4 linked regions of the Schizosaccharomyces pombe genome follow. The gene in region 4 interacts genetically with the main gene of each other region. Each region holds a gene or a part of one and is shown on either strand. Other genes may lie near its edges. The genes, in order: ubp11, min8, SPOM_SPAC1F12.04C and php5.

What was found.
Region 1: mutations in php5 (region 4) and ubp11 together harm fitness more than expected from each alone (negative genetic interaction), as found in Schizosaccharomyces pombe (one large-scale study listed by BioGRID).
Region 2: mutations in php5 (region 4) and min8 together harm fitness less than expected from each alone (positive genetic interaction), as found in Schizosaccharomyces pombe (one large-scale study listed by BioGRID).
Region 3: mutations in php5 (region 4) and SPOM_SPAC1F12.04C together harm fitness less than expected from each alone (positive genetic interaction), as found in Schizosaccharomyces pombe (one large-scale study listed by BioGRID).

Annotation. Positions count from the first base shown.
Region 1 is NC_003423.3:1,674,393-1,681,019, forward strand, and holds ubp11 (ubiquitin hydrolase Ubp11), read right to left. Parts: upstream 4,213-6,627; 5' UTR 3,185-4,212; coding exon 2,132-3,184; 3' UTR 1,960-2,131; downstream 1-1,959. Other genes in the region: pmt1 (DNA methyltransferase), read left to right, coding at 1-710; DNA-directed RNA polymerase subunit Rpc10, read left to right, coding at 1,343-1,418, 1,472-1,587.
Region 2 is NC_003424.3:4,923,251-4,929,376, reverse strand, and holds min8 (protein Min8), read right to left. Parts: upstream 2,840-6,126; coding exon 2,767-2,839; exon of another isoform or gene 2,719-2,766; coding exon 2,648-2,718; exon of another isoform or gene 2,583-2,647; coding exon 2,505-2,582; 3' UTR 2,432-2,504; coding exon of another isoform or gene 2,374-2,431; 3' UTR 2,282-2,373; coding exon of another isoform or gene 1,779-2,281; 3' UTR 1,558-1,778; coding exon of another isoform or gene 1,459-1,557; 3' UTR 1,239-1,458; downstream 1-1,238. Other genes in the region: SPOM_SPAC1B3.02C (Elf1 family transcription elongation factor), read left to right, coding at 1-14, 58-128, 277-416; SPOM_SPAC1B3.01C (uracil phosphoribosyltransferase), read left to right, coding at 1,459-1,557, 1,779-2,281, 2,374-2,431; chaperone, AAA family ATPase Rvb1, read right to left, coding at 3,690-4,916, 4,970-5,113; SPOM_SPAPB8E5.08 (uncharacterized protein), read right to left, coding at 5,486-5,797; ribosome biogenesis protein Rrp12, read left to right, coding at 6,047-6,126.
Region 3 is NC_003424.3:3,809,479-3,814,449, forward strand, and holds SPOM_SPAC1F12.04C (uncharacterized protein), read right to left. Parts: upstream 2,372-4,971; 5' UTR 2,164-2,371; coding exon 1,588-2,163; downstream 1-1,587. Other genes in the region: tma19 (translationally-controlled tumor protein), read right to left, coding at 50-556; arrestin-related substrate adaptor Any2, read left to right, coding at 3,644-4,777.
Region 4 is NC_003423.3:3,391,858-3,398,788, forward strand, and holds php5 (CCAAT-binding factor complex histone fold subunit Php5), read right to left. Parts: upstream 4,650-6,931; 5' UTR 3,844-4,649; coding exon 3,499-3,843; exon of another isoform or gene 3,454-3,498; coding exon 3,424-3,453; exon of another isoform or gene 3,366-3,423; coding exon 2,493-3,365; 3' UTR 2,047-2,492; downstream 1-2,046. Other genes in the region: lys9 (saccharopine dehydrogenase), read right to left, coding at 1-1,312; mitochondrial [2Fe-2S] cluster assembly NADPH-ferredoxin reductase Arh1, read left to right, coding at 5,771-5,977, 6,060-6,931. UniProt on the Schizosaccharomyces pombe protein: Component of the CCAAT-bound heteromer, php5 is essential for DNA-binding activity. It is essential for transcription activation of cyc1. It is the linchpin that binds to the subunit association domains (SAD) of php2 and php3 to bring these proteins together.

The sequences.
Region 1 (6,627 bases), 1.7 Mb from region 4:
ATCCTCGTTCCCAAGCATTTCTAAATATTTTAAATGTGCTTCCTCATGTAAATAATTTGCCTGAGTACATTCTAATTGAGAATGTTCAGGGTTTTGAGGAGAGCAAGGCAGCTGAAGAGTGCAGGAAAGTTTTGAGGAATTGTGGTTACAACCTAATTGAAGGTATTTTGAGTCCAAACCAGTTCAACATTCCTAATTCTCGCAGTAGATGGTATGGATTGGCTAGGCTCAATTTCAAAGGAGAATGGAGTATTGATGATGTTTTTCAATTTAGCGAGGTAGCGCAAAAAGAAGGCGAAGTAAAAAGAATAAGAGATTATTTGGAGATAGAAAGAGATTGGTCTTCATATATGGTACTAGAGTCTGTGTTAAATAAATGGGGCCATCAGTTTGATATAGTTAAGCCAGATAGCTCTTCCTGCTGTTGCTTTACACGGGGATATACACATTTAGTACAAGGTGCAGGCTCAATTTTGCAGATGTCAGATCATGAAAATACGCACGAGCAATTTGAGAGGAACCGGATGGCTTTACAACTTCGGTATTTTACCGCCAGAGAAGTCGCCAGGTTAATGGGATTCCCGGAAAGCCTCGAATGGTCAAAGTCTAATGTAACCGAAAAATGTATGTATCGCTTATTAGGAAATAGTATAAACGTTAAAGTTGTTTCATACTTGATTTCTCTATTACTGGAACCTCTAAATTTCTAAAAGCGGTTAGAAGTCAAAACTATTTTTTTAAAATGAAAGGAAAATTAATATTACTCGATAAAAGTTCTGCAAAAAAAGGCACTTATTTCAATTGGAATTACCCTTTAATGCATACAGTGTTTCTGAATGCTTTATATAACTAATTACCAGGACTAATTTCAAGACAAAGAAATCGTATATTTATACACTAAAAATTGGAGAACTCGGGGAATACATTATTTTTGAGCTATTGTATTTATCCTCACACGTACACATAATTGTTATGAAATATAAATTAAACAATCTAGTTATTTATCGATTTAAATTTAAAATTATGTATCCAGCCCTTTATTCTTTTGCTAGATTTAATAAAGGTTAAATTTAAAAGAACGTCAAAATTAGATACGAAATTATATTTGAAGTTTATATATCCAATAAATGGAAATGTACTTGAAGTACTTTAAATGAGAACTTTTAACTCATTAATGTATTATAAGATTAGCTTCCCAATTTTTTTTGAAGCGTTAATATTGAGAATAGTATGGTAGTAAAAATTTGCGCGCTACTACTCACCACCACAATTAGAAAGTTCAAGTGAGGAAGTAAAATCACAGGATTTAACTAGACTCAAATACACTAAAAAAGTTTACAAAATGAATCATCCAACCTCCACTGGCGGTACCGCTTTCAATCCCCCCAGACCAGCCACTATGATTTATTTATGTGCGGGTATGATCATTGAGTAGAATTAAATGAGTATATGATAAAAGACTGACCATCAGATTGCGGAGCGCGTAATACAATCCAAGCGAAAGAAGTTATTCGTTGTCGAGAGTGTGGGCATCGTGTTATGTACAAAATGAGAACCAAGAGAATGGTTCAGTTCGAAGCACGCTAAGTTTTAGAGTTTTCAGACTATGAAAAGAGAAAAACGGAATTATAACTTTTAAAATTTGAGAAATGGCTTAAAAATGGTGTAATATGCAGGTCCTTATGCTTAATTCGAGAAATTAGAAGGTCCTGGGGTTAAATGGATAACCCATGACAATAATAACATTTTGGATATTTGATGCATTAAAAACTGTGAATTGTACATGATGAGTATATCTAAAATTTTTTTTAGTAAATTATAAGTCATTTGGCGACGGTTTGAAAGTGCCATGTGTACTTTAACCATGCCTATAAAAAATCGTCCACTTGAAAATCTTAAAGTCAAGAAAACCGATTTTATGGACAGATACGGTGGATACATACATACATATATTTTCATACACAAGTTTTGCAAAATATTAGTATTGAATGCTTTAGCTACAAAACAACAGGTTATAATTTGAAGCTTTCAACAGTTTATAAAGGGTGACATCAGTCGGAATCATTAGGAGAAATATCAAGAATTTTTTATTAAGGTACAAAAACGTATACGATTAACTAGCATATATGCGCTAATCAAGCGCAAGAGGAGATTCCATTTCGTAAAACAAAAGACAAGCTGAACGAGTTTGACTGAGAGCTTCATTGAGAGATGATTTAGTAATTAAAGAATCATTAGCCTTCCACCAAATGTCATCTTGAAGTCTATAGCAAAGATAATGACCATAAGTAACACTTCCGGAATGGGTGATTAAGGATCGTAAAATATAATGATGTTTGTTTTTTAGGATAAGTTTGCTAGGAAATGAGATAGAAACATTATTTCTGGTTAAACCTTGGCAGGTATATGATGTTCTCTCAAGTTGAATTTGCAAAATCGTAGGAGGATTTTTCCAATCAACGGTACGAATGCATGAAGTTTTGGAATGTTTTGGGGAGGATTTGAAGCAAGAGTCACATTTATAGTCAGAGATGTGCTGTTCGCGATCGGCTTCCATTAAAGAGAGCAAGGAAACGTTAGAATTTCCACTGTACTCCGGAGGTAGACAAAGCTGTATCGATGTGGCAGTAGAATAACTAATACTAATGGCAAGGCATTGACAACATTGTACCTTTTGCTCCATAGTTCCTATGAATGGCGAATCTACAGGAAAGGAGAGTACCTTCGACCATTTGTAAGTGTGAGGTTTTTGAAGTTCCAAAGTTTCCACTAGATGTTGTAGAAACTCTTGTGCATCTTGTTGAATGGAACGAACAAGTTTTTTATTAGTGGCAATCTCTAATGAATTGAGGAAGGAACCGGGAGTGATTGGATTACCGGGGCCACTATTTAATTTTTGCAGAAGTTCATAAAGGGTAGCGTATAAGGTAGAGGAAGAACAACGGAGTTTTAGGATTTCCAATAATGATTCTTGACTTGCTAGGGATTGCAAAACACAATTGAGGAAACAATCGTTACCCGAAACATTGTAAAGGCCTTTGATGGAGGCGTTTTTCACCAACCTCTTGCCAGTGGAAGGAGAGGTAACGATGTAAAGGGCAGCAAACGTAGTTAAAATGGCGGCACCCTTGAAAACTGTTTTGTATTTTTTTGCCCTAGAAATGGACAATGGCGTTGTAGACATGATAATGAATGCATGCAATGAAGAATTAGGGAAAAGAAATTATTAGAGGTAACAGAGAATATAATTTACAAAAGAAAAAAAAAATTTATGCATAAAAACAAATTTTTTTTGGCAAGGGAAATAAGAATAGAAGACGAGCGTTAAGTCACAGCATATATCCACTAGGTTGTTGTTACTAGCTTTATTGGTATAAACGATAACACGAGTCCAATGGCGGTGAGGTAAAGGACACGATAATAACGTACAATATAGGTATAGTTAGGGAGACGAGGTAATAAGAACCAAACTTTTTGAGCATAAAACAACCTTTTTAGGAAATAATCAGTGATAGGATGAGTAAAAGTTTGAAAGTTTTACAAAGGCAAATTTAAAAAAAAAAACAGTTGTCAAAAAAAGTGTCAGCAATTAGAATGTTGTCGAGTAATGCGACAAAAGACACAAATATTACTTTTTGGGAGGAGGGAGTCAATAAATAAATAGATAAAGTTGAAAGTGGTAGAATGATTTTACCTTTGCAATTTTAGCGATCGCAATAGATGAAATAGGCGATAAGATATGAAAGGATAAAAAAGAAAAAGAAATTAAAAAACGTTAGGAAGTAATTGTAGAGAAATGAAATAGCACAATTTAAAAAAAAAAAAATAAGAAAAGAGAAAAAAAAAGTATAGCGATCCTATCAAAGAGAATAAATTACGATGGAATCAAGAACAAGAAAAAAGGCAAGAGGCGTCTATAAGAAACAGACAAAAGTTTTTTCGAAGAAGAAAAAAAAAGGGATCCAAAAAAGATGGGAGATTTTTTTCACTTGATTATGTGTGAAGGATTTTTTGTAAGGTAAGATTAGACGATGGGGAGGCAGTGCCGATTTGTCGGTATGGATTGTTTTTTGATGGAGAAATTAAGATAAAAGTAAAGGTATTAAAGTTTTTGCAGAGAAAGCTCACTCATTCACAAGTACGACACAAAGCAAATAATTTGCAATCAGATATGTGTATAAAAGAGCAACCTTTAGAGAAAAAAAGCAGGTTGGAAGAGAGGGACAGGAGGGCCAAACCCTCAGCATAAATATGCGCCTGATGAGACGAAAAAAAGGTTTTTTGCATTGGCAGCGACGTTTGTATTTGCCGGCAAGCCCAAGGGGTTGCAATGATGCGTAAAAGCGACGATTGGTGGAAGAAGGAAAAGAATGAAGTTTTATTTGTGCAGCCCTCCGCATACCAGTTAGGGAGATGCAACATGATTTGTTAGGGAGAAGAGAGGGAGGACAAGGAGGACGAGTAGGAAAGAAGGTGAAGTGGAGGAAGAATAGGGAGGAAGAAGGAGAAAGAAGGAAGAGTAAGGAGAGGGAAAGAGAAGGAAGGAGAAGGGAGAAGGAACAAAAGGAAGACGTTGAAGGTATGACAAGAGAACAAGCGGTACATTCTTTTTGTAATGTCAATAACTTTTGAATTTTACTTTTGAATGATTAACCATAATAAATTCATTTGCCAATGCAAAAAAAAACTAGCAAAGGATGGGCAGTTGATGAAGCATATATTCAACGAAGCATAGCAAAAAGTTATCTCTTTTCTCCATCCATCATCGGTGTTTGATGTCTGCCGTCAGTATGTTAGGTGTTGCCTCTGACTGTATATATGGACGGGATTGCAGACAAAGAAAAGAAACAAAAGGGCTTGTCGCATTGTTTACATTCGAGAAAAATTTACGTCACCCAAGAACACGTTGAAGCGATATCAGACACGGCAAATGTCAGTTGTATGATTGGTTAGTTGATGTGAATGGACAGTTTATATTGCGTAAATTGCAAATCAGATGCAATTGATTCATTTCATTGGCTGAATAAAAAAAAAGCATCCGCCAATCCAATACAGTAGTGGAATTGCGGGGTCAGTAAGGAAAACCCGGGCTCCAAGCAGTCAAGTTGCTTATGAAAAGCGTAGCCTATGGTTGATGTAGTGGTTAGGAGTTCGGAGGCTCGACCGTTAATAAGAAAGGTCAAGAATCGTAAGGGTAAAAGAAGGATGAGAATAGCAAAGCTCATAGGTAGAGAAAGACTTGTGCACGCCGAGTGTAAACAAAGAAAGGTGCGCATGCGAAGAACACATGGAGGTCTGGAAAATAAGAAGCGCATGAGTGAGGATATGTGATATGTGAGAGTTGCGTGAGCAAAGCAAAGTAGAACTCATGCCAAAGTCATGGTCTCGTCGCATGAAGGAGATCCATAAGAAAGAAAGAAAGACAAATGATAGAAAAAAAGAAAAGTAAAACAGAGATAGGAAATAGGAAATAGGAGAAAAAAGAAAAGACAAAGAGAAATTGGGTTGATTAGTAGAAATGAAATTGTTCAATCGTCGGACGTTGATTGTCAAACGTTAATTGTCGATTGTCGATTGTCGATTTCTAGTGTCGATTGTATTCTCCTTGATTGTCAATTGTAAAATTTCGTCTTATGTTTTCGTCAACTCTCGCCTATCTCTTAATTGTTAAAATCTATTCTCGTCTATCCGCAAGTACATCCCAAAGACATCAATGGAAAGATGTGGTAAAAATTAATCAACAAATTTTTTTTTTTGAAGTCCAACTTTTCATATCCTTCAAACCTACTTTACAACTCCTTTTCGCACCTCCTTTCCTTTCTTTCCACTCCCCTTCTATATCCCCACTTATTCCCTTCTTTATCAGCTATCTCGCTGTCTACCCTGCGATCGCCGCTACCATCGTACCGTACATTGACATTTGCTAATCTGACAACTTGGTATATTGATGAATGCGCCATTTACAAATTGATCGACTTCCTTACCTTTTCTGCTTTTCTGTCTTTGGCTTGCGTTGCCTTGCTTTACTTTATTTTTTTGTTTTGCATTTCTAATTTTTGTTTTCTTTTTTTCCATTCTTCATCTTTTTGCTTTTCTTCTTTTTTATGTTTTAGTAAACATCCCCTTATCTAACCTTTCTTTGCTCTTTTGCATCTTCATCCTTTACCATTTCTTTGTTTTCTTGTTGTTCTGATTTTCCTTTTCACTTTACCCCCCCCTCCTTCCCCTACTTGCCCTTACCGAAAGTTATCTCATTGTGGCCGATTTTCAAGTTTCTTTGTTCTACCTCAAACCTCACGCCTTCCCCTACTAACGAATTCGTAGCTAGCTACACTTCCGCACTACTTATTTGTGTTGCACCTCCATACACCTCATAATCAAAACTGCTAATTACAGCAACTTGGCCACGTAGCGACAACGTGCAATATATTAGAAGGTTGGATCCTTTCTCCATTTTACGATTCATCCAAATTCAATTCATATTACTAATTTTGCTCAGTCAATAAAGAGTTACTGAATTGCATTTTCTTTTCCTTTTCTTTTCGTCTCTTCTCTTGAAGAACCGTTGCCTTCTTCCCGATCATCATATTCCAGATCTTTTCGCCTGGACTTTGCTTTGCTTTCCTT
Region 2 (6,126 bases), on a different chromosome or scaffold from region 4:
GTGAGCTGTAGTCTGTATGCTTATTAACTACTTTCATTTTTTTTAACACTTTGATAGTGATAAACAATCAGGAGTTGGAAATCTACACTGCAAAATTTGTGGTCAGAGTCATCAATGTCTAATTACAGGTATGAAAGAGGTGTTTTATTTCAATAGCGGCACGTAAATTATTACGATTAATATTGCGGTTAATTTCTTTTATATCGTCTCTTTATCTTCTTATTTCTTGTTCTTTTATGAAATTTTCTTGTACACTTATTTACTAACATTATCAAGCTCTTTCGGCACCCATCGACGTATACAGCGACTGGATTGATGCTTGTGATGCTGTTGCAAATCAAGCTAAAGAGGTTGATAATATAAATGATCAAGAAGCCTATTCCCCTGAAGCAGCTTATGAGGAAGAAAAGGAATGATTTTTTGCTATTGGCCTAACTTGCAAAAGGAAGATTCTTTTCAGAGCTTAAATGTTGAAAGTTTCCGTTCATTTATGGTGATCTTATTTTCGTTGATGCTCAGTCGTTTCAATTAAGAGATTTCTCTGAAGCGATAAGAAGGTATTAACTACATTGCAATGAACAAGACGCTGTATTTGGCAAAACCGGACGAGCTTAGTGTATACAAATCTAGGCATGCTCTTGTATATATTTGTCCTTTTTAAAGACGTCGAACATACGAATTTCGAGATTCCATCTGATGAACCGACAATTGGACGATAGTGTTAAGCTTATTTGTTGGTATTCGGATGTACCATCAATATGGGTGTGATATCTTGCTCATTGGCAAGATAGCCATTTCATTGCTTTGTTTTTGGTTTGGTAGAATCGCTGTTCACTATGACAGGCTAAGAATTACGAGTGCCTAGAGTGTGGTTGACTTCGACCTTGTACTTATTGTATTCTCCATGTACAAAAAATGTCTAGAATGAAAGAGATATGAAAATATGTTCATGTGTTCTTACTGCATTTGATTTAAAAATCCTTACAATACAACTCATTTCTTGGTTTCTTGTGAATACAGTTGGATGAATTGAGAATTACAAGTAAAAAACATTGAAATCCAATTAAGATTGTAAGCTGCATGGAGTCCAATTGTATGAATGTGTGCTTCAAAAATTTGTACTGTCTTTCTCATTCTTAAATATAAGCAGTAATTCATTTAAAAACATCAACTTGCCCTAAAATATGTTCAATAGTTAATTGATATTCTTATTTAATTTTGCCAAGCCTGCTAGAGTAGAAATCTTTTACTGCGCTAAGTAACGCATTAATCATAATTATGTTATTATGAAATGATGTTGTAAATCTTTATTTATGTTTAACGAAATATACTAAGGTTGATAAAACTCATTTTGCTATTGATAGCTTAAAAGCAAATGTGTTATTGTGCTTTTACTTTTTACCATTTACTTGGTAAACAACTTGATAGGTAGATATTTAAGCATACATCGTCAAAAAGATGTCGCTGGTACCTGAGCATGGAAATGTGTACGTACTAAATCAGACAAATCAATTAAAAGGGTTGTTTACCATCATTCGTGATAAAACGAAACCTCGTGTATGCGCGTTCAGTTTACAACAGATTACTGAGTCAAGGTCTAAGAACTAATTGAAATGAATGTGTTAATATGTCCAAGAAATTTTAGCTTTTTCCTCTATTAATGGGGAGATAAATGTTTATCAGTGGATGATAGGAAGCATTCATTATCAGTTAGTACATTCGACAACTTCTCGTGTATTCTTTGTTGAATCTGTTATCCCTGCTAACATGATATTTAGTCTGAATTTATTTTTTATGCCAATAGAATCATTCGTTTAATTGTTGAAGAGGGCCTCAACCACTTGCCAGTGTCTTCAGCTAAGGTAACGACTGCTCAAAATGCTGAATACGAGGGTGTAATGTTTGATGGTCGTATTTGCGGCGTTAGCATTATGAGAGCTGGCGAAAGTATGGAACAAGGATTGCGTGAATGCTGTCGTTCTGTTCGTATTGGAAAAATTTTGATACAGCGTGATGAGGAAACTCATAAACCTGTGTTACACTACATCAAGCTTCCCGAAGATATTTCTAAACGCTATGTCTTACTTTTGGACCCCATGCTAGCCACTGGTGGCTCTGCTATTTGTGCTATGGAAATTCTTATCAACATGGGTTGCAAACAAGAACAAATCATTTTCCTCAATGTAATTGCCTCGCCTGAAGGGTTGAAAAATGTTCACGATCGTTTCCCCAATATACGTATAGTTACCGCCGTAATTGATGAGGGACTCGACAACAATGGGTATGTGCACGATACACTACAAGTGTTCATGAGGTCAATACAAAGTTGATCGCTATTTCATTCATGAATAATCTTTAACACATATGATTTAGATACATTGTTCCAGGTCTTGGCGATTTTGGAGACATTTACTTTGGAACGAAGGCCTAAAGTTGCTTTGAAAATTTGCTCAATTAAACACACAACCACGCACTAAACATTAAAAGACTAATTTTAACAGCACTTAATGAAATTGCGGTTTCTTAACTTTTGTCTCTTCTTTTTGTTGTGTTTGTGCTACCCAACTTGGTGAGCGTCGAATCTGTAAATATAGGTCAGTGGCCGTTGTTTAAATAGTAATAGAAGTTTGGAAATAATTGTACATACTTCAGGATCAGAATAAATCTTATATCCCATGGTAAATATTGCAGTGGACCCAGCAATTCCAATGAGGATTGCTAAAATTCGTTAGTGATTTGACAAATTCGGTTTTCTCAGTAACTAACCCAGAGGTTTGAGCTCAAAAGGAAGCCTTTGAAAGGCCCTGTAAGGTTTCATAATTCTTGATAAAACTGCCATTTGTACACTTAATAGTTAAGCATTCAAAGTCTTCTCTTCAACTTATATTGGGTTGCCCTTCCTCCTGGTCTCGTCATTATTGCTTTACTTTGGCCACACTTATGTAAAGTGGTATATTGACGAACTAACGAGGCATATTAATATATCATAACAAACGGGGTTGCTTACTGTGCGCTAAGAGTACTGTGTGTGTTGATAAAATTGCTCAATCGATGGTGTTGCAATGTAAATAATCAATTTCTAAAATGACGACGAAACAGTTATCGCAGATGGGGAATTTTTTTTCCGCGTATTACAAATGTTGTATTACTCTTTTTGTCTATCATGCTTTATGAAGTTACTGTTGAAGTTTTTTGCCTGTTATTCGTTCTTTAGCACTTGCTTATCTCAAGTGGCAGCTTGTCCTTTCGTGGAAGTAGGAATCAAAAATGAACAGAAGATTTATAAATAGCATTCAACTCAAATTTAAAAAAAAAAAAAAAAAAAAAAAAGAACTCACCTTCTTATAATATTTTAAGTTTATTTACAGAATGATTGCAGCTTTTGCAAAGTACTTCATACAGTCTTTCCATGCATGTAAAAAAACCCTAGGAGGTATTGAATTCTAAATAAATTCATTGATCCTGACTTTTATTTAGGTATTCATAAATGATTACAGTATAAATAAATGCCGGAATGGAAGGAATATAACTGGATAAAAAAAAGAAGAAATTGGTTAAGCTTAAAAAAAATTTACAAGTTTATAAATAAAAAGGTATATATATTCACAACCTGTGTAAATCTAGCTAGTTTCGCATATAACCAAAAAGTTGAAATAAGTAAGGGTAGATCGTTATTAAGGATAATATTTTTATTGAAGGAAGCCTGAAGATGATTTAACAACTTGAGCGGAGCGGCGAGCATCTAAGAAAAGATCGTTACATTCTTCGATATCTTGTACACCAATCTCTTTGTTACCATGCAAACTGGCAATAATGCTAACGGGTGTCAACAGTTGTATAACATAACGGAGACTAGTACGAGAACCTTCTTGAGCCAGCTTGTCCAAACACTCATCAGTAAGGATGATGTTTTCAACTTTTGCACGTATCTGCAAAATGGAACGAATTTCTGACTCTGAATAGGGGAGTGTGCGAACTATTAGTAATCTGTCAAGCAAATCCGTAGGAATACCATGGGGAGCTTGAATATCCTCAGTACCCCGAATGGTACAAATGCCTCGATTAGAGGCAAAGATAACAATAGGAGAAATAGTGCTTTCTAGGGCTTGGTTGAGATAAGTAAAGCACTCAATGTCTAACATATGAACCTCGTCGATGAACAAGACACCAGGAATAAGTTCAGCGATTCCTTGTTCGATATATTTGTTGACAACCTTGTTAATTTCACCACGAAGCTTATCGGTGATTTCAGTTTTCTTGGGCTTCATTAACTGACCCATCATAGACATTATATCTTGTCCTCCTTGAGGGCGGGCATTGGCAATATCCAAATCATGAAGAGTCACGTCCTGAACAATTTCTTTCCGCTTGTGTACCTCACCTTTAGGCATAGGAACATATTCTTCCGCTTCTAAATCGAACTCCGTAGCATACGCATCGCTACGACCCACTCTCTTTACGGCACCTGTATTGGCTTCTATGTAAATAACGTCCCCGGTTGACACTTGTTCTCTTTGTAAAGATTCGTAAATGCTAGGATCTAATTTGAGCTGTTTGGTACCCTTATGCGTTTTGAGGCCCAAAAGGACGTGTGAAATGGTTTTTCCATAACCGCCCAAAGGATTTTCGGCTTCTTCGGGAACCATTTCTGTAACCTCACCCTCATACACTTCTTTTGTTTCCTTTACCCGAAGACCAATGGCCCTTCGAAAGTTTTCCATTAAAGCCTCAGTTTTCTTTATTTCACTAGAGTAGACTTCACTTCCCACCATAGGACAAAAAGGAACTTTAGGACCAAGTTCTTGGGCAATCGCCAAGGCCAGTGCTGTTTTACCAGTACCAGCACCTCCAGCGAACAATACACCTTTACCACCAAATTTTTTAGACTTGATTAAATCAGTGATGATGCCACAAGCCTAAGAAAATATATTAGAATACATTATATTAAAGAATTATCAGGAATGCTTACCTCACGAGCCTTTTCTTGTCCAATGAAACCTCCACCAACAGATTCACAAGTTCCATCTTCTTTTAGGCCTAAACCTTTGATATGTGAATGTGTAGTAATCCTATTATCACGGCCATTTCCCTTAACCTCGCTGATTTGGACCATTTTATAAGTAGTTGGTTGAGGATAGCTTGCTTTCAAAATGTGACATTAGGGTTGGGTGTAGCAAAATAGTACCAAGTTAAATAAGAAGAAAGTAGAGCTGAGGTAATGAAAAAGACAGGAAATGAAATAATAAAGCAAAGAGGTGTATTCTTTCTTTAAAAAAAAAAATTAAACAGAAATTAACAATCGATTTTTGAGGAATTCTATTTTACTGTATATGATGCAAAAAAAATAGTAACTAAAACTGTTATAACGAGTACTTAAGTAATAAACGCAAATACATCTAAATGTTTTCAAAAAGTTATTCTTGATTTATTAATGAATTATAATTTTCTTATTTACATACATCCCATATGTTGATTAACTACCATCCTAGAATAGCGATATATATTTAAATAAATACGGTGAGCATAAAAACGAATAAAAAAAAAAATATATATATATATATATTGAAAACTTGTTTGGATTGCTTAATCCGATGCTACTACTGTTTCGCTGATTTTTTCTTCTGCTTTTTTTATTTTTAATCTCCGGGCAATCTGTAATCCTTCGATAGGTTTTGTAGTGCTTAAACGCTCGCTCATTTAAGATACAATAAAACATAATTTTATTAGCGACAGATAAATAAATGAATATAAACGGTAATAACTTGGGAATCATTTGTTTACATCTCAATTTTCTCATGTACCAGGAAAATACCCGCAATTCCGTCTAGCAACAGCGAATTAATGTTTATCAATAAATTTAAACTTAACCTGCCACACATCGTGATCCATCAAAAGATTGGTAAGGAAATTTCCTAATTTCACAATCTTTTTTCGCCAAACAAATAACGATGTGCAATGCACTGCGAACATATCTGTGAATTTCGCACTGATGTGGAGTTGTCTTTCACACCATCCTACAGGGAAAGTTTGGGCAGGTTAAAAATTCATGGCTGAAGTGAATGAACCATTGCAAATTGAACTTCGAAAGATTCGAAACAGCTCCACTGCAGGTGTCATAAACGAATT
Region 3 (4,971 bases), on a different chromosome or scaffold from region 4:
ATATCATGTTCCCAGTTAGAAACTCCCTTATAAGAACCCAAATTTGCATTTAGAACTTCTCAGAAACAAGACCGTCCTTGAAGAAGATCATGTAGGGAGTAATACCATCCTCACGGTAGTTCATTAAGACAACCATTGCGTCGGGATCCATGCTCTCACCAATGTAAAAGTCGTAGTCCTTGAAGTTAGCCAAAATCTTCTTGACGAATCCAATGGCATTCTTCTCGAAAACAGGAACACGCTCGGGGTTGCTTTCTTGAAGACGAGCCTTGATAGCCTTCATGTAACCCTTGATGTAAGACATATAGGACTTCTTGTCAAAAGAAGTAGGGCTTAAACGGAAAGAGTAAACAAGATTGTTTACAGTCTCAGTACCCTCTTCAGCATTCTCCTCAGCATCCTCGGCAGAAGGGTTGGCACCAATGTCAACATCACCACCTTGCTTGACAGTGACCATTTGGCAATCAGCCTCGTAGACAATATCGTCTACCTCCTTCAAGTCGTAGGCGTCAGAAACGAGTTCGTCTCCAGAAATAACGTCCTTGTACAACAACATGGTGATTGCAGATGGTAGCTCATAATTTGACTTCTCGCAGGTTTAATGAGATAAAGCAGTCACAGTTTAGGGCAGGGTTACTGGATTCTAGCCATCCGTATGGAATGCGGTTACGAACAGTATTCACTTTACGTAGTACAGCGTTGTTTTCGATAGATACATTTTGTTTACCAATTCCTTCATTTTTTTCAATTTGTCGTAGTCTGTTCTCCTTTCTTTTAAATAACAATATTCTTTATATTTTCAGATTTTTTTTTAGATGAAAATATCGTTGTACTCAGTCAGTAGTAAATTGTTTTATATTACTGAATCTGATTTTTTGAGTGAAACCATTATGATGCGTGTAAAATTAAGATTAAAGCTGGAATTAAAGTCCAAATGAATTCAACAATTGAACCATATTTAACAGTATGTGTATTAATCTCTATGTTCTTTAATCAACTTGTAACCATTTATGTCGCCTCAAATTTATTATTCGAGCTATTATCCGTCAATTCTTGAGTCGTAATTAGAACATTCTCAACAGTACTGAGCTTCAGAAGAAACCTAAAAAAGTAGTGCATTATAGTTGATAATAATTCCTTAACGTTTATATATGATATACTTAAAAGTATGATATCGTACATCCTCAATTTGAAATTGCAGGGCCATTAAAAACACTCGTTAATAAAGATATTCAGTTCAATTAGAAAAAAATGACAAGGTACATTTTGGTGACAAACAAAGAGTAACTTAATGTTTTCCGTTGATTAAATTTTCGATCAATATCCCAAAATTTAAAACGCTTTAATGGAATGGATTAACGATTAAAATCGACTTCATTTCTAAAACCTTTCAAGCTTTAAACCGATTCAGTCCCTTCATTTAGAATGGCATATTTCGATTTTTGCTGAAAAAACCAAGACGACTGTTACCACTTTTGTTTACTACTTTACTCACATAGACATTCGAGAAAACGAAAAATAGTTGAGCACGAATAGAATTACATGAAAAAAGTAACTTCTATTTAAATTTAAAAAGCTCATTCGTAACTAAGCTCTTTTATTGTGCAAAGAGAGGATTAGTTTTCTAGTTTGTACAATTGCGCTGAAAAGACCAAGAACTCCAATTTGGTGTTTGTGTAAACCAGCTCCATTTTCTACAGACCAGTGAATACACAAAGGAAGGCTAGCCAAGTTTGAAGCTAAGTCTAACTGATGCTCCTTTTCGTCTTCTGTTTTTTCACGCAAAAGCTGGTAAATGGTCAATAAAGTATCGAGAAGCCAAAATCTAGAAGACCAAAGCCATAATTTGTCTTCCAACGGTTTTGATATGGAAATAATCTGTTTGCCGCCTAAGAATGCCAATCCTTCTGTGACATAGTATCCAATATTGATTGCGTTACTCATGTAAGTTTCAGGAGAAGAATCTTTACGAAAATTTACGATTAATTTGTAGAGACCAGGAAGACGTAAAATACATCGAAATTCATTTAGCATAGAAACCAGTTGAGCAGTTGATTTCGAAGATGCTGGATCCAACCTCGCAACGTTGACAAGAATGGCAGCAATTTTGTCAATTCCGCTGGGATTTTGCAGCATCAGGTTTAAAGAATGCATATAAGACATATTTCTCAAAAAATTTCAGCTCTAAGATTTGGTCAATTATATTGTTCACGAAAGGTAGTCTAATTTTCGTATACTTTAGTAGAAAAGCGTAAAATCCAAAAAAATACTAAGTAGCGTATGTAAACGACTAAAATTACCAAATCCAAAGATTATTTGAATGACGATAGATGTCGGTTCGGCAACGTCTTATGGTATAGAGAGTGAGTGTGCTGCTATAGTCGATCGGATCAGCAAACGTTAGCTAGTCTGTTTAGTACACCAATAGATTTGATAAGAAAAATCTACAGTGCAGCAAAGTGAAATGTTATTTTATGAGTTGATCGATTTTACTTTTAGAATTACAAATGATAAGATATGATAACTTTCTCCAGTTATCACGTCGATTAGATCGCCGGAAATAACTCCGATATTGAGGAAAGTGTATTCAGTTGCAACAAACAGCTGTGACGGCTTCAAAGTATCGGCAAATCATTTTTTGCATGTGTTTTAAAAAAATAGTTCAGCAATAAAAAACATAAATTTGTTAGGCTTCTAGAGGCATATGCTTATTTATGTGTTATTTTTTTAATATTTATCATAACGTATTTTTTATTACAAATCCTTAGGTAGCAATATCTTAAGAATTAAACATACATATGTTCAAGGATAAAAGAAAGAAAAACTTGGAAACTGGGTTTATTTTTTCTATTCCTTTGTTCAGATACATATAAAACAGCTTAGTTACTATGGATTATTATCATATAGAATTATGATAACTGTTTAAAATAAATATTATTTGGAATAACGAGATTTGTTTAGGTCGGCTTGAGATACGCACAGCTACGTAAGATTGTAGATAACAAACTTTGAAAACCTTCGCATTCAGTGGCCTGGGGAGCATGCAGACTACACTTCCTATTCTTCCTTTGCAAAAACCTTCTCTTCTTACTACATTAGTATATTTTTCATAGGGAGGTGCTATATGCACTGTATTCATAGTTACGCTCTGCTTACAGTGAGCAAAGTATTTCTTTGGACGCTAAAAAAAGGCTCCTGTATATTGATTTGAGTAAATATTTTGGCATAGAAAAACACATTCAACGCTACTTAATTGTTTTTTCCATTTCGAACTACTATTGAGAGGAAGTTGTTTTTTCAATTGTTTTATATCATTTGAAAAAAATTGAAGCACAATTGCTTATCTTTGATCAAACGTTTAAGGAGTAAGCTCCAAATTCGATAATCCCTATTCCGTTCTACATAAAACCTGAGTTCATCTCTTGTGCTGTCGCTTTCAACCTCAGAAGCTGTTAAGGATATATATTAATTTAAAATTTTTACCAAAAAATATATTTCATTCTCTTCATAGCCGTTTTCTGTTTGTTTAATTTCAATCTCATATTAATTCTTCTGATCGGGCCCCCCTTTGTTCTTTAGATTCATTTTTTCCTACTCTTTCCTTTTAATATTTAATTCCTAAGTCATTAGCTGAACCGTCAAGATGCCTTCATTAGTCAGGAGATTTCAGCATGCTTCAACAGAAGAACAACCTTTCGAACTCAACATCCAGATGGAGTCTCCTCCTTTGGTAATGTATGGGAATCCAGATGTTTCTAGTGGAGCGTTAGCATCTGGACTTGCCAAGTTGACTGTATTTCCTGCAGATCTCAAATGCGAATCCATTGTCATGGAATTCGTCCGCATAATATCCACAAAGCGTCCTTTGCGCGACAGCTGTCCCGATTGCAAAGCTCAGGTTGAGGCTTTTGAGAAATGGGAGTTTTCTAAAGAACCTACCGTATATACTCATGGTACACATACTTGGCCATTCACTTTTATAATACCTGGACATTTTCCACAAACGACCAACTCACCATTCATAAACGTTACTTACATCCTAAAAACTCGCGTTAAGATTCCCAGTCAACCCGATTTTGTTTTTGAATATCCTTTAAACTTGAAACGCTCTATTGTCACTAATGCTGATAAAATTGCCCAGCGTCTCTTCCCCCCTACTTCGCTTATTGCTCTTTTAGAGCTGCCTCCTGTAATTCACCCTTTGAGTTGTGTTCCTGTTGAATTTCAGCTGACCGGTGTAAAACCTGAAAACTCCAAGGTTGGTTGGCGCTTAACGAAGATTTCGTGGAGAATAGAAGAACAGATAAAAGCTCAAATAAATGGTTGCTCGACCCATACTGGGACAAAAAAGCCATACATTTTCAAGGAGACTCGGCTGTTGGGAAATAATGAACATAAGTCTGGTTGGAAAGAAGATGGCGATAGAATTATCTTCGAGATCCCTATCAGTACATCTTTACTTTCAAAGCCTATTTGTGATGTTTCCTTTGATGGACAATTCTCTCTATATATTGCCCATCAACTAATTCTTGAGACTATAGTCGTCGAAGTGATGAACTCGCATCCCATAAACTCGAATGCCCGAATTTTAAGGATGAAGGTCAATTTACCTTTGACTGAACGAGGTGGTCTTGGTGTTAGTTGGGATGAGGAATGCCCCCCAATGTTCAATAGTGTTGGACCCAGTCCTCCTGCATATGAGCAAGTTGCTAGATCCTCTCCCACTGATATTCCACTACCTCCACCTTCATGTCCTACAAATGTTCAAAGAGATTGATTCGAATTTTAGTTTCTTCCGTCAATTTTGTTTTTTTATCTTTCTGTTTTAATTGGGCTTGTTTTTTCATTTCAAAGATTTGTGTATCTTTATATGACTTGAACGGTAATTTTTTGACCTTTACTAAGCTTGGATGATACAACAGGATTTCCATTAAAGGTTGCTTAACGTTTGTTCAAATTCCGCTTTTTTAT
Region 4 (6,931 bases):
CTTTGGCAAGTGTATCAATCAATGGACCGCAAAGCTTCATATCATTAGGAGCCAAAACACCTGGGGTGTTAATAACACCATCAAGAATTTGCTGAGTAGCAACACCACAAGGAACGCCGACTAATTTTGCCATAGAGGTGTAGCCATTAGGAACACCGTAGTCAAGCAAAGTGCAAGTACGAGTTTGGCGTTTTCCTTCTTTGGTTTCAACTTCAAACTTGTGTTGAAGGATTAACATATCACGTTCACCTTCTTCGTATTGCATAAGTTCCTCCAAGGTAGCGCATAAGGTGTCCAAAGGATTACCACGAGGAGTAACGGGTTTGCTAGAGAACATACCAAGCCACTTCAAACCATTCAAAATGCGCTTCTTGTCGTCTTCATCTTTGAATTTGTGGATGGAAGAAATTTTCTTGATTAGGTCGGCTTCGGAGGAAGATTCAGCCTTGATGACACGAGCAGTAACCTCCTTCCAAGGCAAAGCGGGTGCTTCAGGAGATAAGTATTCCTGAGCTGTCTCATCCAAAAATCCCATATCAACCAAACAATGAATAAACTCGGGAAATCCTTGGTAACGTAAAGTACCGCGAATGATAGTTTCTGCTTCAGGTATTTGATAGCGCTCTTGGTAGACAGTGGAATCACGATTAGGATAACAAACGAAAGCGTAACCGGGATAGATGAAATAGGGTTTAGCAGTTTCCATCAAATCCTTGCCGTCAATTTCAACAAGTTTGCCGTTTTCATAAAACTTGGCAGAGTTGCGAAGAGCCAACAAAACACCACGAGAAGACCAAGAAAACTTGTATCCTAAAGGATTGTTGGAGTCCTCGGGAGCGGGAAGACCTCCACAATAAGACAAGAAAGACTTAATCTTACCGCCAGCTTTATGAACCTCTTCAATGGTCTTGATAGCATATAAATGATCAATACCGGGATCGACGCCGATTTCGTTCATACAAATAGAACCAGCCTTGATGGCAGCTTCCTCCAACTCAGCCATTTTGGGATTCACATAACTGGTGGTACAAACGTGTTTACCATGCTTAATGGCAGCTTTCATAACTGTTGCATGATAAGTGTAAGGAATCAAGCTGATGGTAAGATCATGTTCGGAAACAGCTTTCTCAAGAGCTGCTTCATCATTGACATCCAAAGCAATGGCTTTGCTGTTTGGGATACCATTAATAAATGCTTCAGCCTTAGAAAGAGTTCTGCATGCTACGGTTATATTATTTTCTTTACGACGAGATAAATATTCTAAAGTAGGATGAGCGACAAATCCCGAACCAAGTAATAAGATGGAAGGCATTTTGATGTTGAAAATGAAAGAGGCAGTCAGTTAAGGACAAGTGGTAAACCAAAGACTTCTGTTTTGTCGTCACGGTTTTAGCGATATATAAGGGGTTCCTTTTTATCCACAGATTTATTTCTGATGGCCGAAATCGTCGTCTAAATTGATGAAAACTGATTATCTCGAATCGGTTAAAAAAGCAGTCACATGGACCATTTTTTGAATTAATATTTAATCGTTACGTTTCCTCTCAATGTTATGTTTGGCTTACTAGGGGAATTCGTTATTATCGACAAGTTTAGTCGATAATTTGTTAGCAGCGATGTCGCAACTGATAGTTTTAGCAACTTTTTTTACGTAGTTTTTTTCTGCAGAACAGAAGTTGCTTAAAAGCTAGTAGATGCCATTCGTTGTTGTTTGGGGGTAGATTAAAGAATTCTAAGCTTTAGTATAAGAATAATTTGTTTCTCCTCTTTCTGCCTATCTGTTGTTCATAATCAACTGCGTAGTTCTGGTGAAGGAGTAAATTAAACTGCCTCGCACCGCCGTACTCATTTTTACCTCGAGTATGGTGGCCGTGGAATGGTGGTTTTTTATGCAGTCGGGAATGAAAGCAGCTGTAATTTCCTTGCATAATGAGCCTAAATACCTTTTTACATAGAAGTTAAAATTTATGAGATTTTAAATTAAAAAATCATCAAAAGTGCAAATTTTCAAGTACATATACGAATAAATTTAATTATAAAGTAAACCTAAACGTTGTTTAAAGCTAATTGCTTCTTGGTAACCGATTGCAACATGCCATCATTTATTTACATTGACAACCCGTAAATATCCATAATAGGTAGAATGTTATCGACAATGAATTTCAAATGCATATATATGTTTAAGTAAAACAAAATACTCTACACTAGCAGTCCCGCAATGGGAAAATAAAGAGGCAGCAAATATGAAAAGCTTCCGTCATTTCTTTTTCGGTCTTGCTAAAAAAATAAAACCACACATAGCTTAAAAAAAGTAACAATGACTAGACATAGCATGTCATGAAAATCAACTGTTTCTTTAAGCTTTTGTAGATAAACCGAAAATTGACAAATTGAAAGTTCCACCTAAAAATGCATCACTGTTGGATCCTCCCAAATAATTTAATAGAAATTATTTAAATTGCATGTTCTAAATCAACAGGTATTAAAAGATATTACTGGGGTTGTTGCGAATAGCGAGAAAGAGGGTTTTGTTGCTGGGAAAACTGCTGATGCATTGGGTTTCCCTGACGCCCTTGCTGAGTTTGATACATCATAGCGTTTGGCTGTGAATAAAGTCTCTGTTGCTGATCGAATTGCCGAGGAGATCCAGGTCTTCTTGACATACCATATGCAGAAGGATCAAACATTTGAGACTGTTGCATATTAGGTCGCATATTACCTTGAAATTGGGGCATTTGATATCCCATAGGGGATGACTGCAATCGGAAAGCTGAGGATCCAGATTCGAGATGCGTAGGTGGATAACGGTATAAATGCTCAGCCATGTACGGTGCTACCATGACCGGTCTTTGCATATTCATCTGGTTAACATTTCCGGAGTTATCTGACATTTGTAGTTGTGGATATTCAGAGCCCAGACGCTGCTGTTTATACATAGATTGATCAATATCTTGCATTTGCTGCATTCTGGATGGATGAGAGGAATACTGCATTGAAGGCTGACTTGACTGTTGATTTGAAAATGGAAGTTGACTACCAGTTGGCATTGGAAACCCTTGATTGGGTAAGCCAGCTTGAGTGGGGAAAGGTTGTAAACCATTCATACCACCCATAGCAGCAACTTGAGTAGCAGACATATGAGCTTGACTGGAAGATGCGCGGGAATTATTGTTATCTTTAGATATAATATCAATTAAGAAATCATACATTTCAGATTTTGATACTGCATTTGCAATATCGGATCTTTGTAGTGTCCTTCGTTGATTTTTTTTGGCATGAAGCCAAGCCCTCATAGTAAGCTCTGCAATAAATATCTCACTTCCTTTAGCGAACAGAAAAGGAGCTTCTGCCGAGATCATTTTATTCTAAAAAAATTAGTAAAAGTTAATGTCAAAAAGTATTCGAATACTCAAAGTAACGTACCTTCACATCATCGTCAGTTTTCATAACTTTCTGCATAATCAATAGTTAGTAATTAATTCAGAAAAAGTGGCATACCTTAATACGAGCTAAGGGAAGATGCAGAGTTTTTACAGCTTGATCGTCATGTTCCAATGTATCGATGGTTTTTTGCCAATATTCAGCAAGGGCTTGTGCATCACTGCCAACAAGACCTTGAGTAACATTATCAAATGGACTAGCAACCTCAATGGGTGCACTAGCGTTGTAGTGATTGACAGCAGTTGGATCAACATCGGGGACTGGTTGTTGGAAGCGAGAAACAGAATCTTGACCATAACCTATCCGTACCTGAGAATTAGGATTGCCAGAGGGATCAACATATTCTCCTAAACCTTCGGGAAAGCCTTGTTTCAAGGAATAGGAATCAGGAATAGAATTCATTTTGCAATGAATCTTAATTGAAAAACGAAAAAAAGTCTACAGAAAGGCAATTTAGTTTAAAAAGAAAACTGGAAACGTAAAGGCCTTTGCCAATTAGATAAGAGATCAATGCAATCTCACTGGTGACAGGTTTAAAAAAACGACAATGACAAAAATTGTAACTATGCCGGGATCTAACAAATACCAGTTTCCTAAAAACAAAGCTGTTAAAGAAACTGACAATAATTTAAGCTAAAGAATTTCAAATCGAAAATCTAAATATTAAGAGGCGATAAAGATGCGGATTAAAGAAAACTTCCAATACCTTGATGTACAGCTTAACAAAATCGTAACCAAGATAAGTAGAAATAAAATAGAAAGGGAGCGGAGTAGTCTCCGGTAAAATGGGGAATTAAACTTATATGAGAGGTGAGCAGGAGACGAAACAGGGAAGTAAAACAAATTGACGTCAAGTTGAAGAGTGGAACGGAAAGAAAAAAATAAAAAGTTTTACAATCGAAAGGAACACGAACGGCTAAACACGAGGCTTAGTTGCAATATCTAAAAAGATAAATACCAATCGTCTTAATTCACGAAAAACTCGTAGAATGAGTAAGACAAAGCAACAAGTGCAGTTACTAACGTATCTCTAACACATTAACTTCTTAAAACAAAGAACTTCAATAAAGAACACTAGTAAAGCACCTTAACTCGTCGAAGTGTCTTGAATTATCTATGTAGCGTATTACACCTGGCTTAATTAAGTATATAGAGTGCAAAAACACTCAATATAGCGAAAATCGGTACGATTGAATTTATTGGTGGCTGGCAGAAGATGGTTGGCTGTCACACAACTTATTGATGGAACCGGTTTATAGTACCACATACTTTGTTTCTACAATTGCTAAAACACTTTAACGACACGTAAATATTCATTATTTGATATACATAATTAATGTTTTCGCGGTAGTAGATATAATACTATAAACAATAGCATGTGCAAATATTATTCAGTAATTAAAGCAAACAGAATAGAAAATACGTATAGTAATTGACTTCAATCCAGGAATTACATTAAAATACATCCTTGTTAATTGAATCTTACGCCTTTTTAAAGTCCTCGCAAAGATAAAGCTTACCGCGTTACAATTTGTTGGTCTTACAACAGTTCTTTAAACGTGAAAGAGTAATTGACCTTTATAAATAGAATTATTTTGAATGTAATAAATTCTTATTTTTTGTTTTATCATTATAATAGTAGGAATTAGAAAACACTTTCAAGTAGCTAGGTTTAGCATCTTTATAAATAAGTATGATTGAATAAGCAGAGATTAATTATTTTTAAGAAATTTAAATATATCGTTTTCAAATTAACCATTTGAGCCACAATCATCTAACTAGTTATTTGAAATATCATAAAAAAATCATTGCAGAAATCAGTTTGAAGCTGCTTAAGTCACTCATAATAACAACATAAAACACTTATTTGAAGGTTTGCACTTTACTATATGAGATGTTTGTTGCTGGTAATATCGTAAGCAACGATCAGCAAAAGTTCTGTTGTAGCGTTTGATTCAACTTTCCTGTTTGTAATTACCTTTGATTTAATAAGAAATTTCCTTTTTCTAAATACTGACTGATCTTATCATATAAATGCTTTGCTCTCAAAAGGCTTGGCTGCTTGAACCTGACCACTCATCCAATGCTATAAAATTCACTAGTTGTATAGGTGTCACCAAACAGTTTATTGAGATTAAACATTTAAAGCTTTAAAACTAATGAATCAGTTTTATTAAGCATTGGTAGCTTTTCTTTTCGTTTTGAGGAGAGTCCAGTTGTTAATGATAATTGCTGCTAGTTTTATATCAGATTTACAATCACGAAGATATCCTTCACTTCTTCATTTCAATCATTTTTTGTTTTTCTTTCATCTTAAGGCTAAGAAAGGATGCTATCACGATTCATTAAAAGAACATATAGCACTCAAACTTCTTCACCTGTAGTCGGCATCATCGGTTCTGGGCCGGCTGCTTTTTACACAGCCCACAGACTCTTACGAAATGACCCAAATGTCAAAATAGATATGTTTGAATCCCGCCCAGTTCCATTTGGGCTTGTACGTTATGGAGTTGCCCCAGATCATCCAGAAGTTAAGGTAAGTCTGTTAAGCCAAGAAATATTGATTGGTTTAAAAATGGATCTTATTAAATTTATTATACAGCTAACCTCTATTGTAGCATGTAGAACACAAGTTTTCCGAAATTGCTGAGTCTACACAATTTCGCTTCCTTGGTAACGTAAACGTTGGGACTGATGTTTCTTTACGGGATTTGACTAAAAATTATGATTGTTTGGTCCTTGCCTATGGAGCTGCTGGGGACAAGAGACTGGGAATTCCAGGGGAGGACTTGTCAGGTGTTTATAGTGCGCGAGAAGTGGTGGGTTGGTATAACAGTGATCCCAGAAATCAAAATCTTGAGTTGGATTTAAGTCAGGTAGAGGATGCAGTAGTTATTGGACATGGTAATGTTTCACTTGATGTAGCTCGAATCCTTTTAAGTAATCCTGCTCAATTATCCCCAACTGACATTAATCCATTGTTCCTCAAATCACTTGAAAGAAGCAATTTAAAAAGATTACACATTGTAGGAAGAAGAAACATATTTTCTGTCTCGTTTACTATCAAAGAATTGAGAGAACTGTTTGCCCTATCAAGTGCAGTTTTCTTTGCTCCTTCCTTTAATTATTCTACAAAGTGGATGAATGAAACAGATGCAAGCGGTTTGGATAGACCTAGAAAGAGATTGTTAAAGCTATTAGTTTCCGAAATCCAGAAAGCTGTTTCAGAGAAACGAGTAGCCCCTTATTCAAAAGACAAGAAATGTTGGAATTTGGAATTTGGCTTAACACCTGTTGAGATTCTAGGACATAAGGGAAATGTTGAAAATGTTCGCTTTCAGATTACAGATAGCATAAGAACAGATGCTGAGTCAAAATTTACAACCATACCCGCACAGTTGTTTATCCGAAGTATAGGGTATAAAAGTATGCCCTTGCCTGGAATGAAAGACGTTGGCGTTCCATTCGACGATGCAAAAGGAATTGTAAA